Linked DNA regions of Rattus norvegicus. The protein of the gene in region 2 purifies or fractionates together with the protein of the main gene of each other region. This does not show direct contact. Links are inferred from orthologs where the notes say so. Each region holds a gene or a part of one and is shown on either strand. Other genes may lie near its edges.

Evidence for each region.
Region 1: the proteins of Amhr2 (region 2) and Cdc37 purify together in Homo sapiens (co-immunoprecipitation; 3 studies listed by BioGRID and IntAct, with this or other methods). This does not show direct contact. The link is inferred for Rattus norvegicus from reciprocal best matches to the Homo sapiens genes AMHR2 and CDC37.

Annotation. Positions count from the first base shown.
Region 1 is NC_086026.1:27,960,290-27,970,172, forward strand, and holds the start of Cdc37 (hsp90 co-chaperone Cdc37), read right to left. Parts: upstream 6,642-9,883; 5' UTR 6,532-6,641; coding exon 6,430-6,531; intron 1-6,429. UniProt on the Homo sapiens protein: Co-chaperone that binds to numerous kinases and promotes their interaction with the Hsp90 complex, resulting in stabilization and promotion of their activity. Inhibits HSP90AA1 ATPase activity.
Region 2 is NC_086025.1:135,452,745-135,462,991, forward strand, and holds the start of Amhr2 (anti-Muellerian hormone type-2 receptor precursor), read left to right. Parts: upstream 1-5,177; 5' UTR 5,178-5,302; exon of another isoform or gene 5,303-5,568; 5' UTR 5,569-5,628; coding exon 5,629-5,677; intron 5,678-5,955; coding exon 5,956-6,138; intron 6,139-6,336; coding exon 6,337-6,528; intron 6,529-6,784; coding exon 6,785-6,856; intron 6,857-7,049; coding exon 7,050-7,168; intron 7,169-7,282; coding exon 7,283-7,513; intron 7,514-8,690; exon of another isoform or gene 8,691-10,247. UniProt on the Homo sapiens protein: On ligand binding, forms a receptor complex consisting of two type II and two type I transmembrane serine/threonine kinases.

The DNA of each region.
Region 1 (9,883 bases), on a different chromosome or scaffold from region 2:
ACAAGCAAAACCAAAGAAAGCCCTAAGTGGTCACGGTGGAGCACCCCGGTAACCAAGCATTCTGGGAGGCTGAGGCAGGAAGACTGAGTCTGTACCAAGCCAGCCTAGGCAACTCAGCGAAACCTGTCTTGAAATAAAATCTAAGGCTAGGCATGGTAGCAAATGGCTTTAATGCCAACAATGGCAGATGGAGGCAGAAGGATCTGCAGGGCCATCCTCGTCTGCACAGTGAGACCCTATCTCAAAAGATGAGATACACAGGTAATGAAATGAAACCAATTTCAGGGCCAGTGAGATGGTTCAGAAAGTAAAGATACTGGCTGCCAAGCCTGAGGACCTGAGTGGAAAGAGAAGCAATTCACCAAAGTTGTCCTCTGACCTCCACAAGTGCATTGTGGTACACACCACACCACACGCATGCATAACACACACACACACACACACACACACACACACACACAGATTAAATTGTGGTACATAACACACACACACACACAGAGATTAATTTGTGGTACATAACACACACACACACACGCACACACACGCACACACACGGAGATTAAATTCACCAAAGCATTTAAGCGGGTTTCTCTGTGTAGCTCTGTCTGTCCTAGGCTGGACTTGAACGCTTGCCTTTGCCTCCTGCTGAGATTAAAGATGTGTGCCACCAAGCCCAGCAGAAAAACAAACAAACCATGCATTACAAAGTTGTTATATGTGTGTGAGTGTGTGTATTTATTTTGTAGTATTAGGGTCAAGTACTATGTCCCAAGCCATTTTATTAATGCTTCTAACATGTATGTGTGTATATGTGCTCACACACATACATCATAACATCATAGCATAGCATGTGGAGAGCAGAGGACATTGCCCAGTTCCAGAGATTGAACTCAGACCCTCGGGCTTGGGAGTAGGTTGGGTGTCTTTACCTGCTGAGTCCTTTAGCTGGCCCTATTTTGCTGTTGTTTTGAAATAGTCTTGCTATGTAGCCTGGAATCCACCGTGTAGCTGATGTTGGCTTTAAACCTGTGGTGAAGTGCCTACATCCTTCTCCCTAGGGCTCTGGTGGCAGGTAAGCACCACCATGACTAGCTTCTCACTAGTCACTTTAAAACAGTCCCTCGAAGTTGCCCAGGCTAGATCAGAACCCACTCTGTAGTCTAGGGGTCTCTGCTCTCGCAAATCCAATTCATGGCTGGCCAGGATGCTAGGTCTATGCGACCAGACGGGCACATTACTGAGTACTCCACAGCTTTACTGTGTCCACTGTGTCACGACGTCATCCACTCATCCACTCATTCAGAGACAGGCTCTTGCATGTGGTGCAGCCTAGCCTTAGCTCCTAGACGCAGATGATCCTCCTTAGCCTTCCCAGTACTGAGATTTCACATGTGTAAGTTCATCTGCCTCTGGTGACATTTACTGAACAGTGTACCACGAGTGAAAAGTAGAACCAACACACATGAGTGCTTGCATATGGGGAGAAAAATCAAAGCACTGGGACGAAAGGGTTCAGCAGGAATGTGCAGTCAAGCCTGATGACCTGGGTTTGATACCTGAGAACTACATGATAGAAAGAGAGACCTGACTCTTTCGAGCTGTCCTCCACACATGCATTCTGGGTACATGTGTAAAAACACATCTATAGCACAAACACAATTAGTGAAAAGAAAAAAATCAAGCATATGCTTGGCCCCTGGGAGTGGCACTATTAAAAGGTGTGGCCTTGTTGGAAGAAGTGTGTCACTGTGGGGGTGGGCTTGGAGGCCCTCCTCCTAGCTGCCTGAGGATGCTCAGTCATTCCTGGCTTCCTTGGGGTGAAGATGTAGAACTTAGATCCTCTAGCACCATGCCTGGCTGGATGCTGTGATGCTGCCATGGTCCCACCAAGATGATAATGGACTGAACCTCTGAACCTGTACGCCAGCCCCAAAAATTAAATGTTGTCCTTTATAAAACTTGCATTGGTTATGGTGCCTGTTCACAGCAATAAGACCCTACCTAAGACAATTACAGTAAGGAGCACTGGAGGGTAGACTGTACAGGGAATGTACAGTGGGACTGTGTTAGCAGGCATGGCTCCCAGGGAAGACAAGGAGGAGTGCTTGTGAAAACATGAGACTTATCACTCAAAAACAGACTGTGTTGCCTATAACCCCAGTACTGTAGGGAGCGGGGACAGGAGGATGACTGGGACCTGTTGGCCCCCAGCCTAGCTCCAGGATCAGTGAGAGACCCTGACTCAAGAGAATGAGCAGAGTTGGGGAAGCAGGGCACCTGTTTCCCCCTGTGTCCTCTGCATGTGAACCCCCTCGTGTGCATACAGGACAAGTCCTTAGATGCAGCAGCCCTGGCCTGTCCTAGGGGCTCTAAGGTCAGCACTCACTGGCTCCAAAGAGCAGGAACTTGCCAAGCTGCTGGCTTCTGGAGGACCGCCACCACTCTCCCTAGTGTCCTCTGAGTAGATGCCAGGGAAGCTGAAGCTAAAAACAGGGACTATGGTGTTGGTGACAGCAGCCTGGCCTGGCGTCCCTCACAGAGGGGACACTAAGGTTCTCAGACTTCTGATACCACACAGTGCTTGCTTGCCCACTTCCCAAACCTTCCCATCTTTCTTTCCTCATAGGATCCTACCCAGGACTGAACCCAGTGCCACACACTTGCTCCACAAGTGGCCTGCTACCAAGCTGCACACACCCCTTTATATTTCATAGTTTGACCTGGTGTTTCCTTTCGTTGCTGAGGCTGGCCTTGAACTTGTGACCTGCCACAGCATCCCCAGGAGCTGGAACACAAGCCTGTGACACCAGGCCAAGCCAGTTTTTTTAATTTTTATTTTTATTAATTTATTTTTGTATTTTTTGAAATAGTGTTTCTCTGTGAAGCCCTAGCTGACCTGGAATTCGCTCTGTAGACCAGGCTGGCCTCGAACTCACAGATTCACCACAGCTCCCCAGTGCTGGGATCAAAGGTGTATGCCACTACTGCTTGGCTAATTTCAAATTTTAATTTATTTTGTGCACGGTGGCAGGCACAGATGTGTGCCAGAGTGTGGATGTGGAGGTCAGAGGACACCCTGTAGTTGTCACTTCTCTCTTTCTACCATGTGACTACCAAGAATCAAACGCAGGTATGTCATCAGGCTTGGTGATTGTGTGATTTTTACATAGGTGCTCGTGTAGCCCAGGCTGGCCGCTACTTGCTATGTAGCAAAGGGTAGCTCTGAGTTCCTGATTCTTCTGCCTCCCTCCCAAGTGCTGGGATGATAGACATGCACTGTCACATCCGTCTTCAAACCACAAGGCACCTAAGCAGTGGAGACAGAACTGTTCCTCAAGGGAATCAGTTAAATACTGGGAAACTATACAGAGCAACTGTATAGAGCACCTGGGTTCTACTCCCATTCTCAAGAAGACCTGAGGCCCAGAGCAGCCAGCCAGAGCCCTCCAAGTCAGAGCACAGCAAGGCCACAGACCTGAAATATGAGCTGTCAAGTCTCTGTACTCAGAACTTATGAAGCCAGCCCCTCACAGATGGACACGGAACATGGTACAGTTAGAATGTACACCAGAGCCTGCCTGTCTCTGGGGTGGGCTAGGGCAGAAGGCCCCACTTCTCTCCTCAGTATTACAGGTATGGCAGCAAGACAGGAAGCGAGGTCTGCACCAGTACACAGGAGGCCTCCCTCCCACCCAGGAGGAAGCCAAACCTCTTCATAAACAGAAATAGGTGTTCCCTAGAATAACCATTCTCCAGCTGTGCGCGGCTCTTCAGTGCTTCCTAACACAATGCTATGTGAGGTACTGGTCTGCACTGCTGCCTGCCAGGCGGTCTTCCCAGGAAACTGGAAGGAATAGGTGTGTAGGTGGGACTAGAGCTGACTGCTGGATTTGGGGAGGATAGGGAAGGACTTTCGAGGAGTAAAGAGGAGAAGCTTTCCTCAGGAAGGTGGAATGCTAACTGCAGAGTACCTGCCAGCAGCCTGGGAGTGTAACAAGCACAGGGCTGATGAGAGAGCTCAGTGGGTGAAGGCCTGCTACCAACCCTGACGGCCTGAGTTTGATCCCGAGCCCACGTGGGTGGAGAGAACGGATTCCAGCAAGTTATCCTCTGACTGTGACAGGGTAGCGTGGCACATTTACACATACATGAGCATGAACATACACAAATACAATGTAACCTAGACAGAGTAAAGACACACAGGTATGTGGGTACAGATGCTTTAATTTGGGGGGCAGGTTAGGCCACTGTCTCTTTACTGCTGTGCTAGAGATGGAACCCAGGACCTCCTGCATGCTAGAGAGTGCTCTACCACTCAACTACATCTTCAGACCACCCTTACATCTAGGTAGTACACTATGGGCCTGCAGGCAATGCTGGCACAAGAGAGGCGGAAGAGCATGGCTTGCTCACACTTGGGGATCTGACGGTCTCAGTCTAAGGCATCTGTTATGGGCAGATTTAAAACTGTGTAGGACTTTATTTTATCTGCCTAGTGATCGACAGGATTCCCTGAGCCCGTGCCAGCCTCATACTTACTATGTGGCTGATGACTTTGAACTTCTGAGCCTCCTGCTTCTATCTTCTCAGTGCTGAGACTACGGGCCTGCCCCACCATGGCTAGCTTTTAAGCCAGATGGAGCCCAAGGCAATGCTTACAACTGAATTCCAGCCCATTTGGTTTTTGAGACAGGGTCTCACGTAGTCCAGGATAGCCTAGAATTTGCCCTATAGCAAGGATTAACTCTGAATTCCAGATCCTTCTACCTCCACCTCCTAAGACCTGAGTTTACAGGTGTGCTACAATGCTCAGAAAGTAAGGTAATGTTGGAACAAGATCCAGGAGGTGCAGAGTTAAATAGAATGATATGAACCCTCGAGAGGCCAATGAAACTGGAGAGGAAGGGCAGGTAGGACAGGAAGGGTTTGGTTTTCTGGGTTGGGATTGGGTGAGCTGTCTTTTCCTTCTCCTTTCCCCCTTTTCTCCCCTCCCCCACTTTCTTTCTCTGTCCTATCCTGCCACTGGACTCCATGCCTCCAAACAGAGTACCCCTATTTAGCTGTGCTGGAACTCTCTGTAGACCAGGCTGGCCTTGAATTCACAGGCCCGCCTGCCTCTGCTTCCTGAGAGCTGGGATTAAAAGTATGTGTCATCACCATCCGGTTTGGTGAGTATTCAATGATGGCTACAAATCATACAGGAGCCAATGTGGGCAGAATGGGGGTCTACTTACTATACTACTAGGAGCAGAGGTTCTGACCGGAAGTTAAGTGGGTGGGGTTTCCTGGAGTAAGGGGAAATAAGAATCTACAGGAGGTGAAAATAAGGAAAGCCACTAGAATTGGATGATGGGCAAGAGTGGAGCTGGGGGTCAAATAGAGAGGCTAAGGGGGCTCTAACACTGAAGTCCCAAGTGTAGCTCTGGTCTATAACCCAGGGAAATCGATCCTGGACTGGGAATCCCAGCTGCAAACTAAGATTGACCATTAAATTAAGAGCAGGGCACAGCCCTCATTTAGTTTGGAAGTTAGGGGGTTGGGGGTTCGGGGGGTTGTCTCTGGGCCTTAATGGAAATTCGTGCCTAAGATCCTGGGAAGTAGATGCCACAATCAGAACGAAGTTTTATGGATCCAGACTCTAGGGGGTGGGGAGAGGCAGAACGGAGATGTGCAATCAGAAGTGGGTGCATGGCTGGGATATGAGATCACCTAACAAAACCTGGGTCCAGACTCTGAGGAAGAATTCTGAGAACAAAAGGTTCCACAAAGGATGATGGGGACCCTACACACATGGGTCAGCTTCGGAGGTGGGGTGGGGTCTAGACTCTGACTAAAGAGTATTAAGAGCTGATAAAATGACTCAGTGTACAGGTGCTTGTGGCAACTCGGGGTGACCTGAGTTCCACACCCAGTTCCAACGAAGTGAAAAGAGAGGCCCAACTTCTGCAAGTTATCCTGTAATCTTCCTTTGCATGCTGTGCCACGTGCACACAAGAACACACACACAATAAGTAAACGTACAAACAGAAGAGATCCACAGCACAGAGAGAAAGCCCGGAGATACAGATGAAGAATTAGAATGAAGAATCCAGGAGTCCTGGGATTAAAAGGTCCAGCCCAGCATGATGGCACATGTCTTTAACCTCAGCACTGGGAAGGCAGAGGCAAGAGGATCTCCGTGAGTTAGAAACCAGCCTCTTCTATATAGCAAGTTCCAGGCCAGGCAAGACTACCCAGTGAGATTTTGTTTTTAAAAAAAGAAGAAAGAAAAGAAAGGGGGAAAGTCTAGATTGTGGAACAGGAGGCTCTGGATGTCAAGAACTGAGGTCTCCCCCGCCCCCCACGCCAGGCGGCCTGGCTAAGAGGTCAGAACTCTAGAGCGGGGGGTCCCGGGAGTGGGGGGAAGGGGATGAGCGCGCACAGCCCCACCTGGTGCCGCCAGCGGAACAGGCTGGCCGTGTCTATGTTGGGGTGCGTCTCGTCCTCATCGTCCGACACCTCGATGTGATCCCAAACGCTGTAGTCCACCATCTTCGCCTCGGAGGCCCGGACTGGCTCCCGGGTCTCCACACGGCCGGGCGCTGAACAGGGACCCACAAGGGCTAGAGAGTCCGCTCGCCCCGCCCCGCCCCTTCCGCTTCCGCCCAGGGCGCCGCGCACGACGGCCCCGCCCCAGCGTCGGCGCATGACGTTCGTCCTTAGCAACGGGAGTCGGCGGCATTGGCAACCGGAGGTCATCTTTAAAGGGCCAGGAGTACGTGGTGCGGCCTTCTGGAAGTTCCCGCCGAAACCAGACTGAACATCCTTTAGAGACAAAAGGTTAGTCTTGTTGGGCGTGGTGGCCCACGGTAATCCAAGTATGCTAGGGGCGAAAACAGGTGGCTCTCTACAAGTTCTAGTCCAGCCAGGGTACATATTGAGACTGTCAAAAAGTCAAAATTGGCTGGGCAGTGGGGACGCAATCTGGCGGATCCAGGCCAGCCTGGTCTACAGAGTGATTTCTAGGACCGTAAGGGTTGTTACACAAACAAACATTCTAAAAAAAAAATAAGTCAAAATTGAGCCTGGAGAAATGGCTCAATGGTTTGGAGAACTGGCTGGTCCTCCCTCACCTACATGGCGGCTCGTACCTATCTGGTAAGTCCATCTCAGGGTATATTGCGCCCCCTTCTGGCCTTCACCCACACCGAGCATGCATGTGGTACACAGATATACTTGCAGGCAAAATATTAATACGCATAGTTTTTTTTAATGATGTTTGCCCTTAAATAGTTTTTTTCCCCAGACAGGGTCTCACTGTATAGCTCCGGCTGTCCTGGAATTCACTATGTAGACCAGGCTGTCTTCAAATGAACAGATCTTTCTACTTCTGCTTCCCAATGCTGGGGTTAAAGGTGTGCACCACTACACCAGACCTGCCCTTAATTTTTTTTTAAAGATTTATTTATTTATATAAGTACACTGTAGCTGCCTTCAGACACACCAGAAGAGGGCATCAGATCCCATTCCAGATGGTTGTGAGCCACCATGTGGTTGCTGGGATTTGAACTCAGGACCTCTGGAAGAGCTGTCGGTGCTCTTAACCACTGAGCCATCTCTCCAGCCCTGCCCTTAATTTTTAAAAAAATATTTATTTGTTTGTTTGTTTGTTTGTTTTGAGACAGAGTTACTCTATGTAGCCTTGACTTTCCTCAAACTCACTCTATAGAGGAGAATAGCCTTGAACTCAGAGCTGTGACTGCCTCATTCTCCGAAGATTAAGTGCTGGGACTAAAGGCATACAGCAGGACCACCTGGCTAGCTAAATAAATAAATAAACAAATAAATATTTAATTAAATTACATCTTAGGTGCTGAAGTGATGGCTCAACAGTTAAGAGCACTGGCTGCTTTTTCAAAGGACTCTGGTTCAATTTCCAGTATCCATATAGCAACTCATATCTGTCTGTAACTCCAGCTCCAGGAGATCTGACACTCTCACACAGGTATATATGCAGACACAATACACGTAAAATAAAAAATAAATAAGTTGGAGGGGTTTTTTTGTTTGGAATTTTTCTCCCTGAGATGGATTCTCAGTGTAACCAGGTGTCCTGGACTTGCTCTGTACACCAGGCTGGCCTCAAACTCAAAGATCTACCTGCCTCTGCCCCCTGAGTGCTAGGATTAAAGGCATGCACCACTATGTTCAGCTAAATATGTAGGTTTTTTAAATTACATTTTATTAATTTTGTGTGTGTTTGTACACCTGTGAACATCAAAACAACTTGGTGAAGTCAGTTTTGTTCCACCATGTGGGTCATCAGACTTGGTAGTAAGTACCTTTATCAACTAAGCCGTCTCCCTGGCCCCAGTCCTTTAAAAAAAGAAGTCTCTGTGTGTGTGTGTGTGTGTGTGTGTGTGTGTGTGTGTGTGTGTGTGTTAGGTACAAATACCAGGGTACACATGTGAAGGTCTTAAGATCATTTACTGGAGTTAGTTCTCCTCTTTACCTCGAGGTCCCTTTGGATCAAACTTTAGTCGTCCAGCTTTGGTAGACAGCACCTTTACCCGCTGAGCCATCTCATCAGCTCCGGTACTTAAAAAAGAAATTCCACTCATCGGTCGGCGGTGGTGGCACATTCCTTTAATTCCAGCACTTGGGAAGTGGAGGCAGCCAGTTTGGTCTACCTAGTGAGTACCAGGATAGCCAGAGCTGTAGAGAGACGGTATCTCAAAACAAATATTAGATTTATTTATTTATGGGGAAGATGGCGAGTTCTATAAGTGCACATTCTGAAGTCAGAAAACAACTTCTGGGAGTCAGTTGACTTCTTCCACAATGATGATCCCAGGTGTTGTACTCACGTCTTTATTCTTAGTGGCAAGTGGAGTGGAGACTGAGGCTTGAAGTGCCCCTTGACTTAACCCTGCTCTAGGGTTGAAAGAAGTGTTTCAACTCCAGGGTTGGTAGTGCCAGATGTTACAGACCCGTCCTTGAGTGAGGATCAGAAGCAGATGGTGATTAACACAGTCTGGGGAGTTCATACTCTAACACCACCACGCGCCACTCCCACTCCTGCAGCCCTCTTCGTCCAGAATCCATCACCTAAAAAATGTCTCCTTTTTTCGCCTCTGGGTGTCGCTGATGTTTAAGCAGCGACAGCGTTGGCAGCCCTGCCCCCAGGGGGACCCCCGAAAGCACTGGACACGGCTTTCCTGGTCCTCACTATCTGGGGCTGGTGCCCACAGCCTCTTCCAGCTCCCCTTAACCTCTCAATTTCGGCTGGGGCTTGAAGGAGTCCATTGTTTTGAGTTTGAGGTACTCAGGGTCGCACATCCCTCTCAATGTTTTGATACAGGTTTTAGAAACTCACGATGCATCCTGGGGCCAGGATTATTTTAGATTAAGGGATGCATTTTGCGGTGGGGTCAGGTGGAAGAAGAGTGCTTTCCATTTGGCTTGGGAAGGGTCCCTTCCCAGCTTTTCCGGAGCTGTTAGAAAGGGGGCTTTCTGAAACGATAAAGATCTGCAGATTTGGGGGTGTTCCCCATCCGTGGAGCCCGGAGCGGTGGTGGGCATAAAAACCCCTACCCGCTGTGGCCCCTCCCCCTCTCGCTCATTCAAACTCACGAGTGGGTGGGAGGAGCCGGGGAGTCCCCTTTCTCTATCCCTCCTCCTCCTCCAGCTTGGCAATTCACCAGAGCAGCAGCGGTCTATCCTAGCCTGGGCACGCGCATGATAGACATACATCGGGAGGGTCTCCCACACGCCCACACACAGCATCAAAGGGTCTGGACACCCGCCCCCTCCCACTGTCCCGACCCCAGGCCAGAGAGGGCGGAGCTCCTCTGTTCAGCCCCTCTTTCCCAGCAAGGTGAGTTTTGGGATTGCCAGCAATGTG
Region 2 (10,247 bases):
AGTGCTTTACTGACAGCACATCTCCTTAGGTGTGCGTTTATGTTTGAGACAGGGTCTCTCTATATAACCCTGCTAGGCTTGGAATTATATGTAAACCAGGCTGGCTTTAGCGCTCCTGGACCTACCTATCAGCCTGTGCCCCCCCCCCCCATGCTGGTATTGAAGGTGAGCGCTACCATGCTACCATACCCATCCAGATGTGTGCTTTAACAGCCCGAAACAGCTCAGTAGTAGAGTGGACTCATTCAATAAATGCTTTTGAGCCTTTGCTCTTTATTCCGTACTAAAGCTAAGGCAAATGCTTGAGACAGGCCCTCCCACCATGACTTCTGCAGTTGGGCCTGTGATACAGATGCCACCAGTTGCTCTTCTCGCCTGATCTCGTTTTCAGCAGCCAGTTTGTCTCCTACTTTATGGAGAAGATAGCTAAAATTTCTTCAAACTGTCCCTCACTCACCTCCTCAAAACATGTTTGCCCACCAGTCTGCCCCATCCCTCTTCCTAAGAAGGAAACACTGTTCTTCCTTTGAAGGTGGCCCGTTTTCTCTCACTTGACTTCTCTTTGTTCTTTGTTTTGATGTGATTTTTTTCCTTTCATCTTCAGCCTGCCTTTGGTTCCCTCCTTAGCTTATGAGCATGTTCTCAGTCTCCCTCTACCCCAGCCCCATTCTGAAAAACTGCTTCCTTCTCAGTCGTGCTGATCTATTGTCCTCCCCAGAGTTAGTGGGAGCAGTTTACACCCAATAATTTTCACCCCTCAGACCACTTTGTTAGCACTGATTCTTTCAAAAATGTTCAGTTTACTGTTAGCCACCTGGTTACAGACCATTGGTTTCTCTGTGTTGCAGTGTGCTCCTGATTAGTGATTTCTCCATTTTAAGCTTTCTTGTGGTAAAACGTGATGCTGCTGTGAATGTGGACCAGTGAGAGGGCTGGCTCAGTTGACAAGTGAGTTGGCTCAAGGGTAAAGACCCTAGGCACTTGCTGATCCTGACAACTTGAGTTCAACCCCTGGGATTCATGCTGTTGACAGAATGGACAGACTCCTTGCAAGTTGCTTTCTGCCCTCTACAAATGCAATACATAAATAGAATGCAATTTATTTTTTTTTAAAAAGCCAAAGGTTGAATGAGAGGAGGCAAATGTGGACATGCACACCTTTAATCTCAGCACTCTGGAAGCAAAGGCAGGTGGGTATTTGTGAGTTCAAGGCCAGCCAGGGCTACACAGTGAGACCTTGCTTGCTTCAAACAAAACAAGTTATAAGGGGCCAAACAGTAGTTAAGAGTGCTTGCTGAAAGCTGGGCACACGACTTTAGTTCTAGCATTCAAAATGTAGGCAGATCTGAGTTTGAGACCAGCCTAACCTACAAGAGTTCCAGAACAACCAGAGCTGTTATGGAGGAGAAACTTTGTGTATCAGAGAAGGAGGAGGAGGAGGAGGAGGAGGAGGAGGAGGAGGAGGAGGAGGAGGAGGAGGAGGAGGAGGAGGAGGAGGAGGAGGAGGAGGAGGAGGAGGAGGAGGAGGAGGAGGAGGAGGAGGAGGAGGAGGAGGAGGAGGAGGAGGAGGAGGAGGAGGAGGAGGAGGAGGAGGAGGAGGAGGAGGAGGAGGAGGAGGAGGAGGAGGAGGAGGAGGAGGAGGAGGAGGAGGAGGAGGAGGAGGAGGAGGAGGAGGAGGAGGAGGAGGAGGAGGAGGAGGAGGAGGAGGAAAAAGAAGGAGGAAGAAGAAGAAGAAGAAGAAGAAGAAGAAGAAGAAGAAGAAGAAGAAGAAGAAGAAGAAGAAGAAAGAAGAAGAAGAAGAAGAAAAGCAACAACAACAAAAAAGAATGCTTGCTGCTCTTCGAGAGGACCCACATCTGGCAGCTTTCAACTGCCTGTAACTCCAGCTCCAGGAAATGATGTCCTCTTCTGGCCTCTGAAGATACTGTACTTAAGTACACAAACTCCCAGGTGGACACACACATATAAACATAATTAAAGGGCTGGAGAGATGGCTCAGCGGTTAAGAGCACTGACTGCTTCCAGAGGTCCTGAGTTCAAATCCCAGCAACTACATGGTGGCTCATAACCATCTGTAATGAGATCTGATGCCCTCCTCTGGTGTGTCTGAAGACAGCTACAGTGTACTCATATAAAATAAATAAATCTTTAAAAACATAGTTAAAACTAAAAGAATATCCAAGGCTATATAGATATAGACTCTGTCTCTAATTAAATAAAAAAGTAAAATCTTTTAGATAAAGCAAGATATAATAAAGCCATCTGGCTCCATGACCCAACAGATAAAGGTACTTGCCCCTAAGCCTGACAACCTGAGTTTGAGCCCTGGCACCAAAATGGTGGGAGGAGAGAACCATCTCTGCGGGTTGACCTCTGACTTTCAGGTATACATGCACACACAGCACTCAAAGAGATATAAAGAATAACTATAACCCAAGTGTGGTGACTTAGATCTATAATCTCAGCACTCAGGAGGCAGAAGCAAGTAGGCCTCAGAACAACCCGGTTTACAAAGCGGCACTGTGTGGAGTTTGTGTGCACACACATATCTGGTGGTGAAAATTAAGTCAGCCAACATTGGCAAAAAACAGAGTGTGACACTAAATCACCTGTCTTCTCCAGCCCTTCCAGTCTCCTTCAGAGACATTACTGTCTGACACTAAAGCGTTGGTGTTCCATCTTGTGTCCTTCTTTCTCAAGTCTCATCTACTCTAGCATGTTCTCTCTCTTCTTCCCTCCACCTCTGTTCTATTGTCATATATACACACATCCTACTGCCTGTTCCAAGTCCTGGGATTAAAGGTATCTGCCACCATGCCTGGCTTTGTTTTTATTCTTTAAGTTTTGTAGGCTGTCCTTGAACTCCCTCTATATCCCAGCAAACCTTGCGGTTTTAATCCTCCCACCTCAGCCAAGTAACTGAGATTACAGGCCTGTGCTACCAGCTCAGAGAGACAGAGACAGAGATGGGAAGGGGGAGAGAGATTTGTGTATATGTGTGTGCATGTGTGCAGGCACAGGCATCCTAGTGTCAGAAGAAAGTGCTGGCTCCTCTGGAGCTACAGTTACACACACAGTTTGTTTGGTTTTTGTTTTTTGTTTTTTTTTCAGAGCTGGGGATTGAACCCAGGGCCTTGCGCATGCTAGGCAAGCGCCCTACCACTGAGCTAAATCCCCAACCCCACAGTTTGGTTTTTGTTTTGATTTGTTGCTTTGTTTTTGTCCGCTTGGGATTCCAACTCAGGTTCTGTCTCTCTAACTGCGGTTGTCGACACACACACACACACACCCCTGCCCCCCCAACCCTGAGACAAGGTCTCACTCTAGTTCTGGAACGGACTGGGATTGACTATATAGCCCAAGATGGCCTCCAACTTGCAGCAGTTTCCTGCCTCTTAATTCTAAATACTGAAATTACAGGAATGAGCCACTGGGTTCTGGGTTGTCTCTGTCTTCAAAAGAAATAGTGACCCAAAGCTTTGACTGAAGGCGCTCCCCTTGCTCCCACTCTGGAGGAGAGGGTCTCCAGAGACATTCCAAACAAAAGAAGCCATTTGATCTTCAATTACCCACATCCCCACTTATCTGATCTGGGGTCTGGTGAAGGAGGACAGCAGGAACTAAGCACAACATCCCACACCTTTCCAGCACAGCCCTGCAGACTTCCACAAGGCGGCGGAAGCCACCCTGTCTCACAGCTATTGCCTCCTCTCACACGTGCTCCCCAGGAGAAAGGCCCCGCCCACTATGAGCTGGTACGGTCACCTGTGATCTAAGTTAGGTCATCCTGAGAAAGGCAGCCAGAACAGAACGGGGTCAGAAGCGTGAACGGGGAACTAGTCCTCTTTAACCAGCTCTTTGAAGCCAGCTACTCACAGGTGTGGACATGATAACCCATGACTGGTTTCTAACTCTGGGGAAAATGAGTCTGCATGCCTCACTCTACGGCAACACAAGCCACAGACCCTTTGTTCATGTGGACTTGCCCTCTTACACACCCTGTGGCCTTTCTTTATATTTTATAGTACTCCAGTTTAGGACGTTTTGGAAGCGTGATGTAAATATTAGTCACCTGAGGAGGTCCTCTTGCCAGGGACAAATTTCTTCTATGCCTGCTGACCTCTGGTGGTGAGATTTTGAACTGTAGGTTCCCTTCCCAGTTGTTGGCCGGTTGGCAAACATGCTATCTGGTACACACTTCTCAGCAATCCCAATTCAAATGTTGAAATTCTGTAGACAGTGAAAGTGTTTTTGTTTGTTTGTTTTTGTTTTTTTGTTTGTTTTTGTTTTTGAGACATAGTATATGTAGCCCTGGCTGTCCTAGAATTTGCCATTAACCAGGCTGGCCTTGAACTCAGATCCATCTGCCTCTCTAAGTGCTGGGGTTAAAGGCCTGCACCATGCCCACTATGGAAACATTTTTTAAAATATTTATTTATTTATTTATTTATTACGTATACATCATACAGCTTTCTGCCTGCTTGTACGCCTGCAGACCAGAAGATGACACCAGATCTCTTTACAGATAGTTGTGAGCCACCAGGTGGTTGCTGGGAATTGAACTTAGGACCTATGGAAGAGCGGTCAGTGCTCTTAACCATTAAGCCATCTCTCCAGAGAGAGAAACATTTCTTTAGCCTCTGAAGTTTGCATTTGTTTTAAGGCAACATTGTATAATACAGAGAACAGAGTGTGGGATTTGGAGTCATACATACCCAGGATAAAATCTCACTCTGCTTTTTTTTTTTAATATTTATTTATTTATTTAGTGTATATGAGTACACTGTAGCTGTCTTAGACACACATCAGATCTCATTACAGATGGTTGTGAGCCACCATGTGGTTGCTGGGAATTGAACTCAGGACCTCTGGAAGAGCAGTCAGTGCTCTTAACTGTTGAGCCATCTCTCCAGCCCAGGAGCATGTGTTCTTATTTTATTTCATTTGCTTGGGTGTTTGACATCACATGCACGCCTGTGCCCATAAAGGCCAGAAGAGGACATCAAATCTTTTGGAACCATAGTTACAAACAGTTGTGAGCTGCCATGTGGGTAAACCAAACATGATTCTTCCACGAGGGCTCCAAGTGCTTTTGATCACTGTGGCATCTCACCAGGTCTTCTCTGAAAAATTTCACATCCTTTCTGATTTTTGAGTTTGAAAAATGAGATCAACTTTGTGAAGTCTTCTCTGTTCAGGATGCTACAAATGAGTTCTCAATCCATGGGAACCATCTTGGGCAGAGCTGAGCGCCCAAAATATCTTTCTGAAAAAGACGGAAGGTCCAGCACCTTCTTCCAAGGTCAGTAAGGGATAGAGATTTCAGAATTAATTATCACAGGGTTCTCAGCAGGACAGCCAAGGTCCCTTCCTCCCTGCTCTGCAGAGAAGAGAGGAGGTAGTTGAAGAGAGAGATTGGTTCTCTGCTCCTCCCTTTTTCTCCCTGTTTTCCTCACACCCACCTCTCCCCCACAGCAGCCTTCTCCCCCACAGAGACTGGGATAGGGCAGAGGGGGGCGGAGTTGGGGATTGAGGGCTTGGAAGCCCCACAGTGCCCTGTATTTGTAGGAAGCGTTGACGAGGGTAGCTGTGCTGGTGTGTGCTGTCCTGCTGACATCCTTTAGTAGGATGCTGGGGACACTGGGGCTTTGGACACTGCTTCCTGCAGCTGCACAAGGTAAGTGTCTACAGAGAGGGGCAGGGTCTTTACACCACTCAGTAAGGGAAAGGTGTACTTGAAGCAGCAGCCACCCATTTGAAAGAGGCCAGGGGGCTGGGAGGAAAGGCAGAGCCCAGGTTCCCATGGTGGGGCTTAGAGCTCAGGCCTCTGCTGAGCCAGTGTCCTGTGGCTCTGCTGTACTGACCTGGGATCTAGACATCATGTTTTGTCTATGCTTGACTGCTATTTGTCCTTGCCTTCACTCCCTTCTTGACTCCCTTCACCTTGGGCTTCAGTATCCCCAAACAGGAGGACCTGTGTGTTCTTTGAGGCTCCTGGAGTTCGGGGAAGCACAAAAACACTGGGGGAAGTGGTAGATGCAGGACCAGGCCCCCCGAAGGGTATCCGCTGCCTCTACAGCCATTGCTGCTTTGGGATCTGGAATCTGACCCATGGCCGGGCACAAGTGGAGATGCAAGGTGAATGACAAAACACGTGGTGGGCGAGAGGCATGTCTAGGTTAAGGGAGGCAGCCAAAAGGAAGGGGAGAAGTGGAATGTGTAGAGGGGGGAAAAGGCATGTCAGATGCCTTTGACAGAGCCCGGATTTGTTCTCTGTCCCCAAACCTTATGGAACTCTCTTTCCTTTCCCTCCTTCCCCTAACCCCACCCCTTCAGGATGCCTAGACAGTGATGAACCCGGCTGTGAGTCCCTCCACTGTGACCCCGTCCCCCGAGCGCACCCCAGCCCCAGCTCCACACTCTTCACATGCTCCTGCGGTACCGACTTCTGCAATGCCAACTACAGCCATCTGCCTCCTTCAGGAAACCGAGGGGCTCCCGGCCCCCAGGAGCCTCAGGCTACCCCAGGTAATTGCCTTCCCCAGGTTACTAGAGCCCACTGGGGAGCAGAAGCATAGGTCAGGGTGAGAACCGGGGCCAGTTCTCACCCCACCTCCGCCCAAACTTTCCCTCCTCCTGGCCTTGGAAAGTTGGTTGCCCTGGTGACTGGGAGATAAGGGGGCTTGCGACCAGCATGGGGGTGGATTGGAAAGTAATCTCTTTGAAGAGGGGAGAGGTTCAGTGCTCACCCCCGTGTGCCGTGCCATCTTCCCTTGCTGTCCAGGTGGGCCCATCTGGATGGCGCAGCTGCTGCTGGGAGTGTTCCTTGTGCTGCTGCTGAGTATCATCATCTTGGGTACCGACCTCTCCCACCCCTCCCTTGTGATAGCATGACACTTGCCCAAAGGGCCAAGCCTCCTCTGGGCCCTGCTGAGCCCCCAGGTCTGGGATTTTCTTTTACATTTCCTTGCAAGATGCTCTCTTCCCACATAGCTCCCCTGGCTGTCTCCATCCTGTGCACCCTACCCTAAGACTCTTCTCTACTTCAGCCCTGTTACAACGAAAAGCCTGTAGAGTGCAAGGTGGGTCAGACCCGGAGCCGGAGCCAGGCTCAGGAGGAGACTGCAGTGAGGAACTGCCCGAGTTGGCTGAGCTGCGCTTCTCCCAGGTGCTCCAGGGAAGGAGGGTGGGCTCTTTTGGCACTCCTGGAGGTTCTGCTGGGGAGGAAGGCTGGCCCTGGCGCTAGCTCTGAGGCCCACACTCAATGCAGTGTCTCTACCAGGTAATCCAGGAAGGAGGTCATGCAGTCGTCTGGGCTGGGAGGCTCCAGGGTGAGATGGTAGCCATCAAGGCCTTCCCCCCAAGGGCTGTGGCCCAGTTCCGAGCTGAGCGAGCTGTGTACCAGCTGCTAGGCCTACAGCATAACCACATTGTTCGCTTTATCACTGCTGGCCAGGGAGGCCCTGGCCCCTTGCCCTCTGGGCCTTTGCTGGTACTGGAACTGTACCCTAAGGTGAGCATCAAGAAATCTCTGTAGTCTATATTATGCACTACTCCTATGGGGCGCTACATGACCACTGGGCCTTACTCATGCCTACTCTCCTGCCTTATACTTTCTTTTGAATACACACACACACACACACACACACACACACACACACACACACACACACCATTCTTTTTTTTTTTTTTTTGGTTCTTTTTTTTCGGAGCTGGGGACCGAACCCAGGGCCTTGAGCTTCCTGGGTAAGCGCTCTACCACTTGAGCTAAATCCCCAACCCCCACACACACCATTCTTGAGACAGTTTCTCAGTGTAGCCTTGGCTGTCTGTCTTGGAACTTGTGCTGTAGACCAGGCTGTCCTTGAACACACAGAGATCTGCCTGCCTCTGCCTCCCACGCACTGGGATTAAAAGCTTGTGCCACTCCTGCCTGGCTAGAAGAGGGCCATTGTTAAGTACACATCCAGGAATAGCTTTGTAAACTCATTCATATGTTCATTTAACCAATATTTATAAACTATGTGGCAAGCACTTCTAGATGCCGAGAGAAGCCCACATGGCCCCTGGTTTTACAGGCGTCATAGACTAATGGGTCATAGAAAAGGAAGTCGCAAATGTCAAGTATGGTGTGCTGAGAGCTGGGACAGGGCACTGGGAACAGTAAGAAATAATAATGATACAATTCAACCTGAGGGACGGTCGAGATGGCTCAGCTGGTGAAGATGCTTACTTACTGTGCAAGCCTTGGGGACCAAAGTTCAGTTCCCAGAACCCAAGTCAAGGGAGTAGAGAACTCTACAAAGTTGTCCTCTGACCACCACAATGCACTCAGATGTGGCTTTTAAAAAAGTGTATATAGGTGTTTCACCTGCACATATGTCTGTGCACTGTGTGCACACCAGGCACCCATGAAAGTCAGGAGAGGAAATTAGCTCTCCTGGGGCTTTCAGAATAGCTGGGTAATGGGAATTAAACTCCAGTCCCCTGGAAGAGCAGCCAGTGTAAGTACTGAACCATTTCTCCCAGTTTTAATAAAAAGAAAAGATGTATATAACCTGAGGTGAGAGATTAACAAGAAGATGCCAAGCCAAGCTGGATAGTAGGACTTGACTATAAGAATTCCAGCCTATGGGGGTTGGGGATTTAGCTCAGTGGTAGAGCGCTTGCCTAGGAAGCGCAAGGCCCTGGGTTCAGTCCCCAGCTCCGGGAAAAAAAAAAAAAAGAATTCCAGCCTATGGAGAGATGGCTTAGTGGTTAAGAGCACTGACTGTTCTTCCAGAGGTCCCGAGTTCAAATCCCAGCAACCACATGATGGCTCACAACCATCTGTAATGAGATCTGATGCCCTCTTCTGGTGTGTCTGAGGACAGCGGCAGTGTACTCATATATAATAAATATAAATAAATCTTTTAAAAAAAGTGAACTCCAGCCTAGCCTGGGTTACATATGACCCTGACTCAAAGAAATAAATCAGGCCTGAGCGCAGTGGGGCATACCCTGAACCCCAGCATTTGGGAGGCAGAGGCAGGCTTATCTATGTGAGTTCAAAGCCAGCTAAGGTTACAAAGTAAGACCCTATCCAAAACAAAACAAAGCCCCCCAAACAAAAGCAAATAAGGTCGACGGCATAGGCAGAGGTGAGACCACATGGAACCTGGGCCTGCTGAACACTGGGGTGCATTTGAAGTCCTAGGCGAGGCACTTTGAACCCATTCACGTGTTTTACTTTCAGAAGCACACCATCAGGTAGGAATTGTATTCAGAGACAAGAAAAGGAAGCTGGTTTGCTCTGGATATGTGATTTGAGAGTCTGGTTCCTCACTGAACTGCTGCTATCTCCTGTTTATCCAGTGTCAGTGCTGTCTGTTCCTTTGAGTGAGATCACCCTGTGCCTTTGCCCTGATTGTACGTCAGCTCCTAGCAAGCTTGAATGCAGTGGCTCTTTCCCAGACTTTACCAGCCTCTACAACTCCTTCATTGCTGAGGTCTTGAGTTCTGGAAAGTTCCCCCTTTGACCACAGTCCTCCTGGGTCTATTAAAGAATAAGTTTTCGGCCCTGGTATATAGCTTAGTCAATAAAGTGCCTGCTGTGCATGAGGGTCTGAATTCAGCTCTCAGAAATGCATTTAAAAAGCCAGATTTGGGGCAGGAGAGATGGTTCAGCAGTTAGGAGCACTGGCTACTCTCCCAGCACCTATGCCAGCTGTCATAATGGCCTGTAACTCCAGGGGATGCAGCGCCCTCTTCTGGTCTCCATGGGCACCTGCGGACACACACATAAGTCGCAATACCCATACTTTTTTTTTTAAAGTTTTTTTTTAATTTATGGGTTTGAGCCCCTCTCTCTTTTGTGGGTGTGTGCACATGGATGTGGGTGCTCTCAGATTAGAGGCCACAGTCCCTGCAGCTGGAGCTATAGGCAGTGTATTGTTGTGGGTCCTGGGAGCCTCTCTAGCCCCCAAAGTAAAATTAATGTTTGTTTGTTTGTTTGTTTGTTTGTTTGAGACAGGGCCTCTCTAGGTAGCCCTGACTATCCTGAAACCAGCCTGAGACCAGGCTGGCCTCAAACTCACAGAGATCCACCTGCCTCTGCCTCCAGAGTGCTGGTATGAAAGGCATGTGCTACCACATCCAGTTAAAACTAAGAGAAATGTTTAAAAAAAAAGAAAGAAAATACTAGAACTCCAGGGGTTGGGGGTTTAGCTCAGTGGTAGAGCGCCTGCCTAGCAAGCACAAGGCCCTGG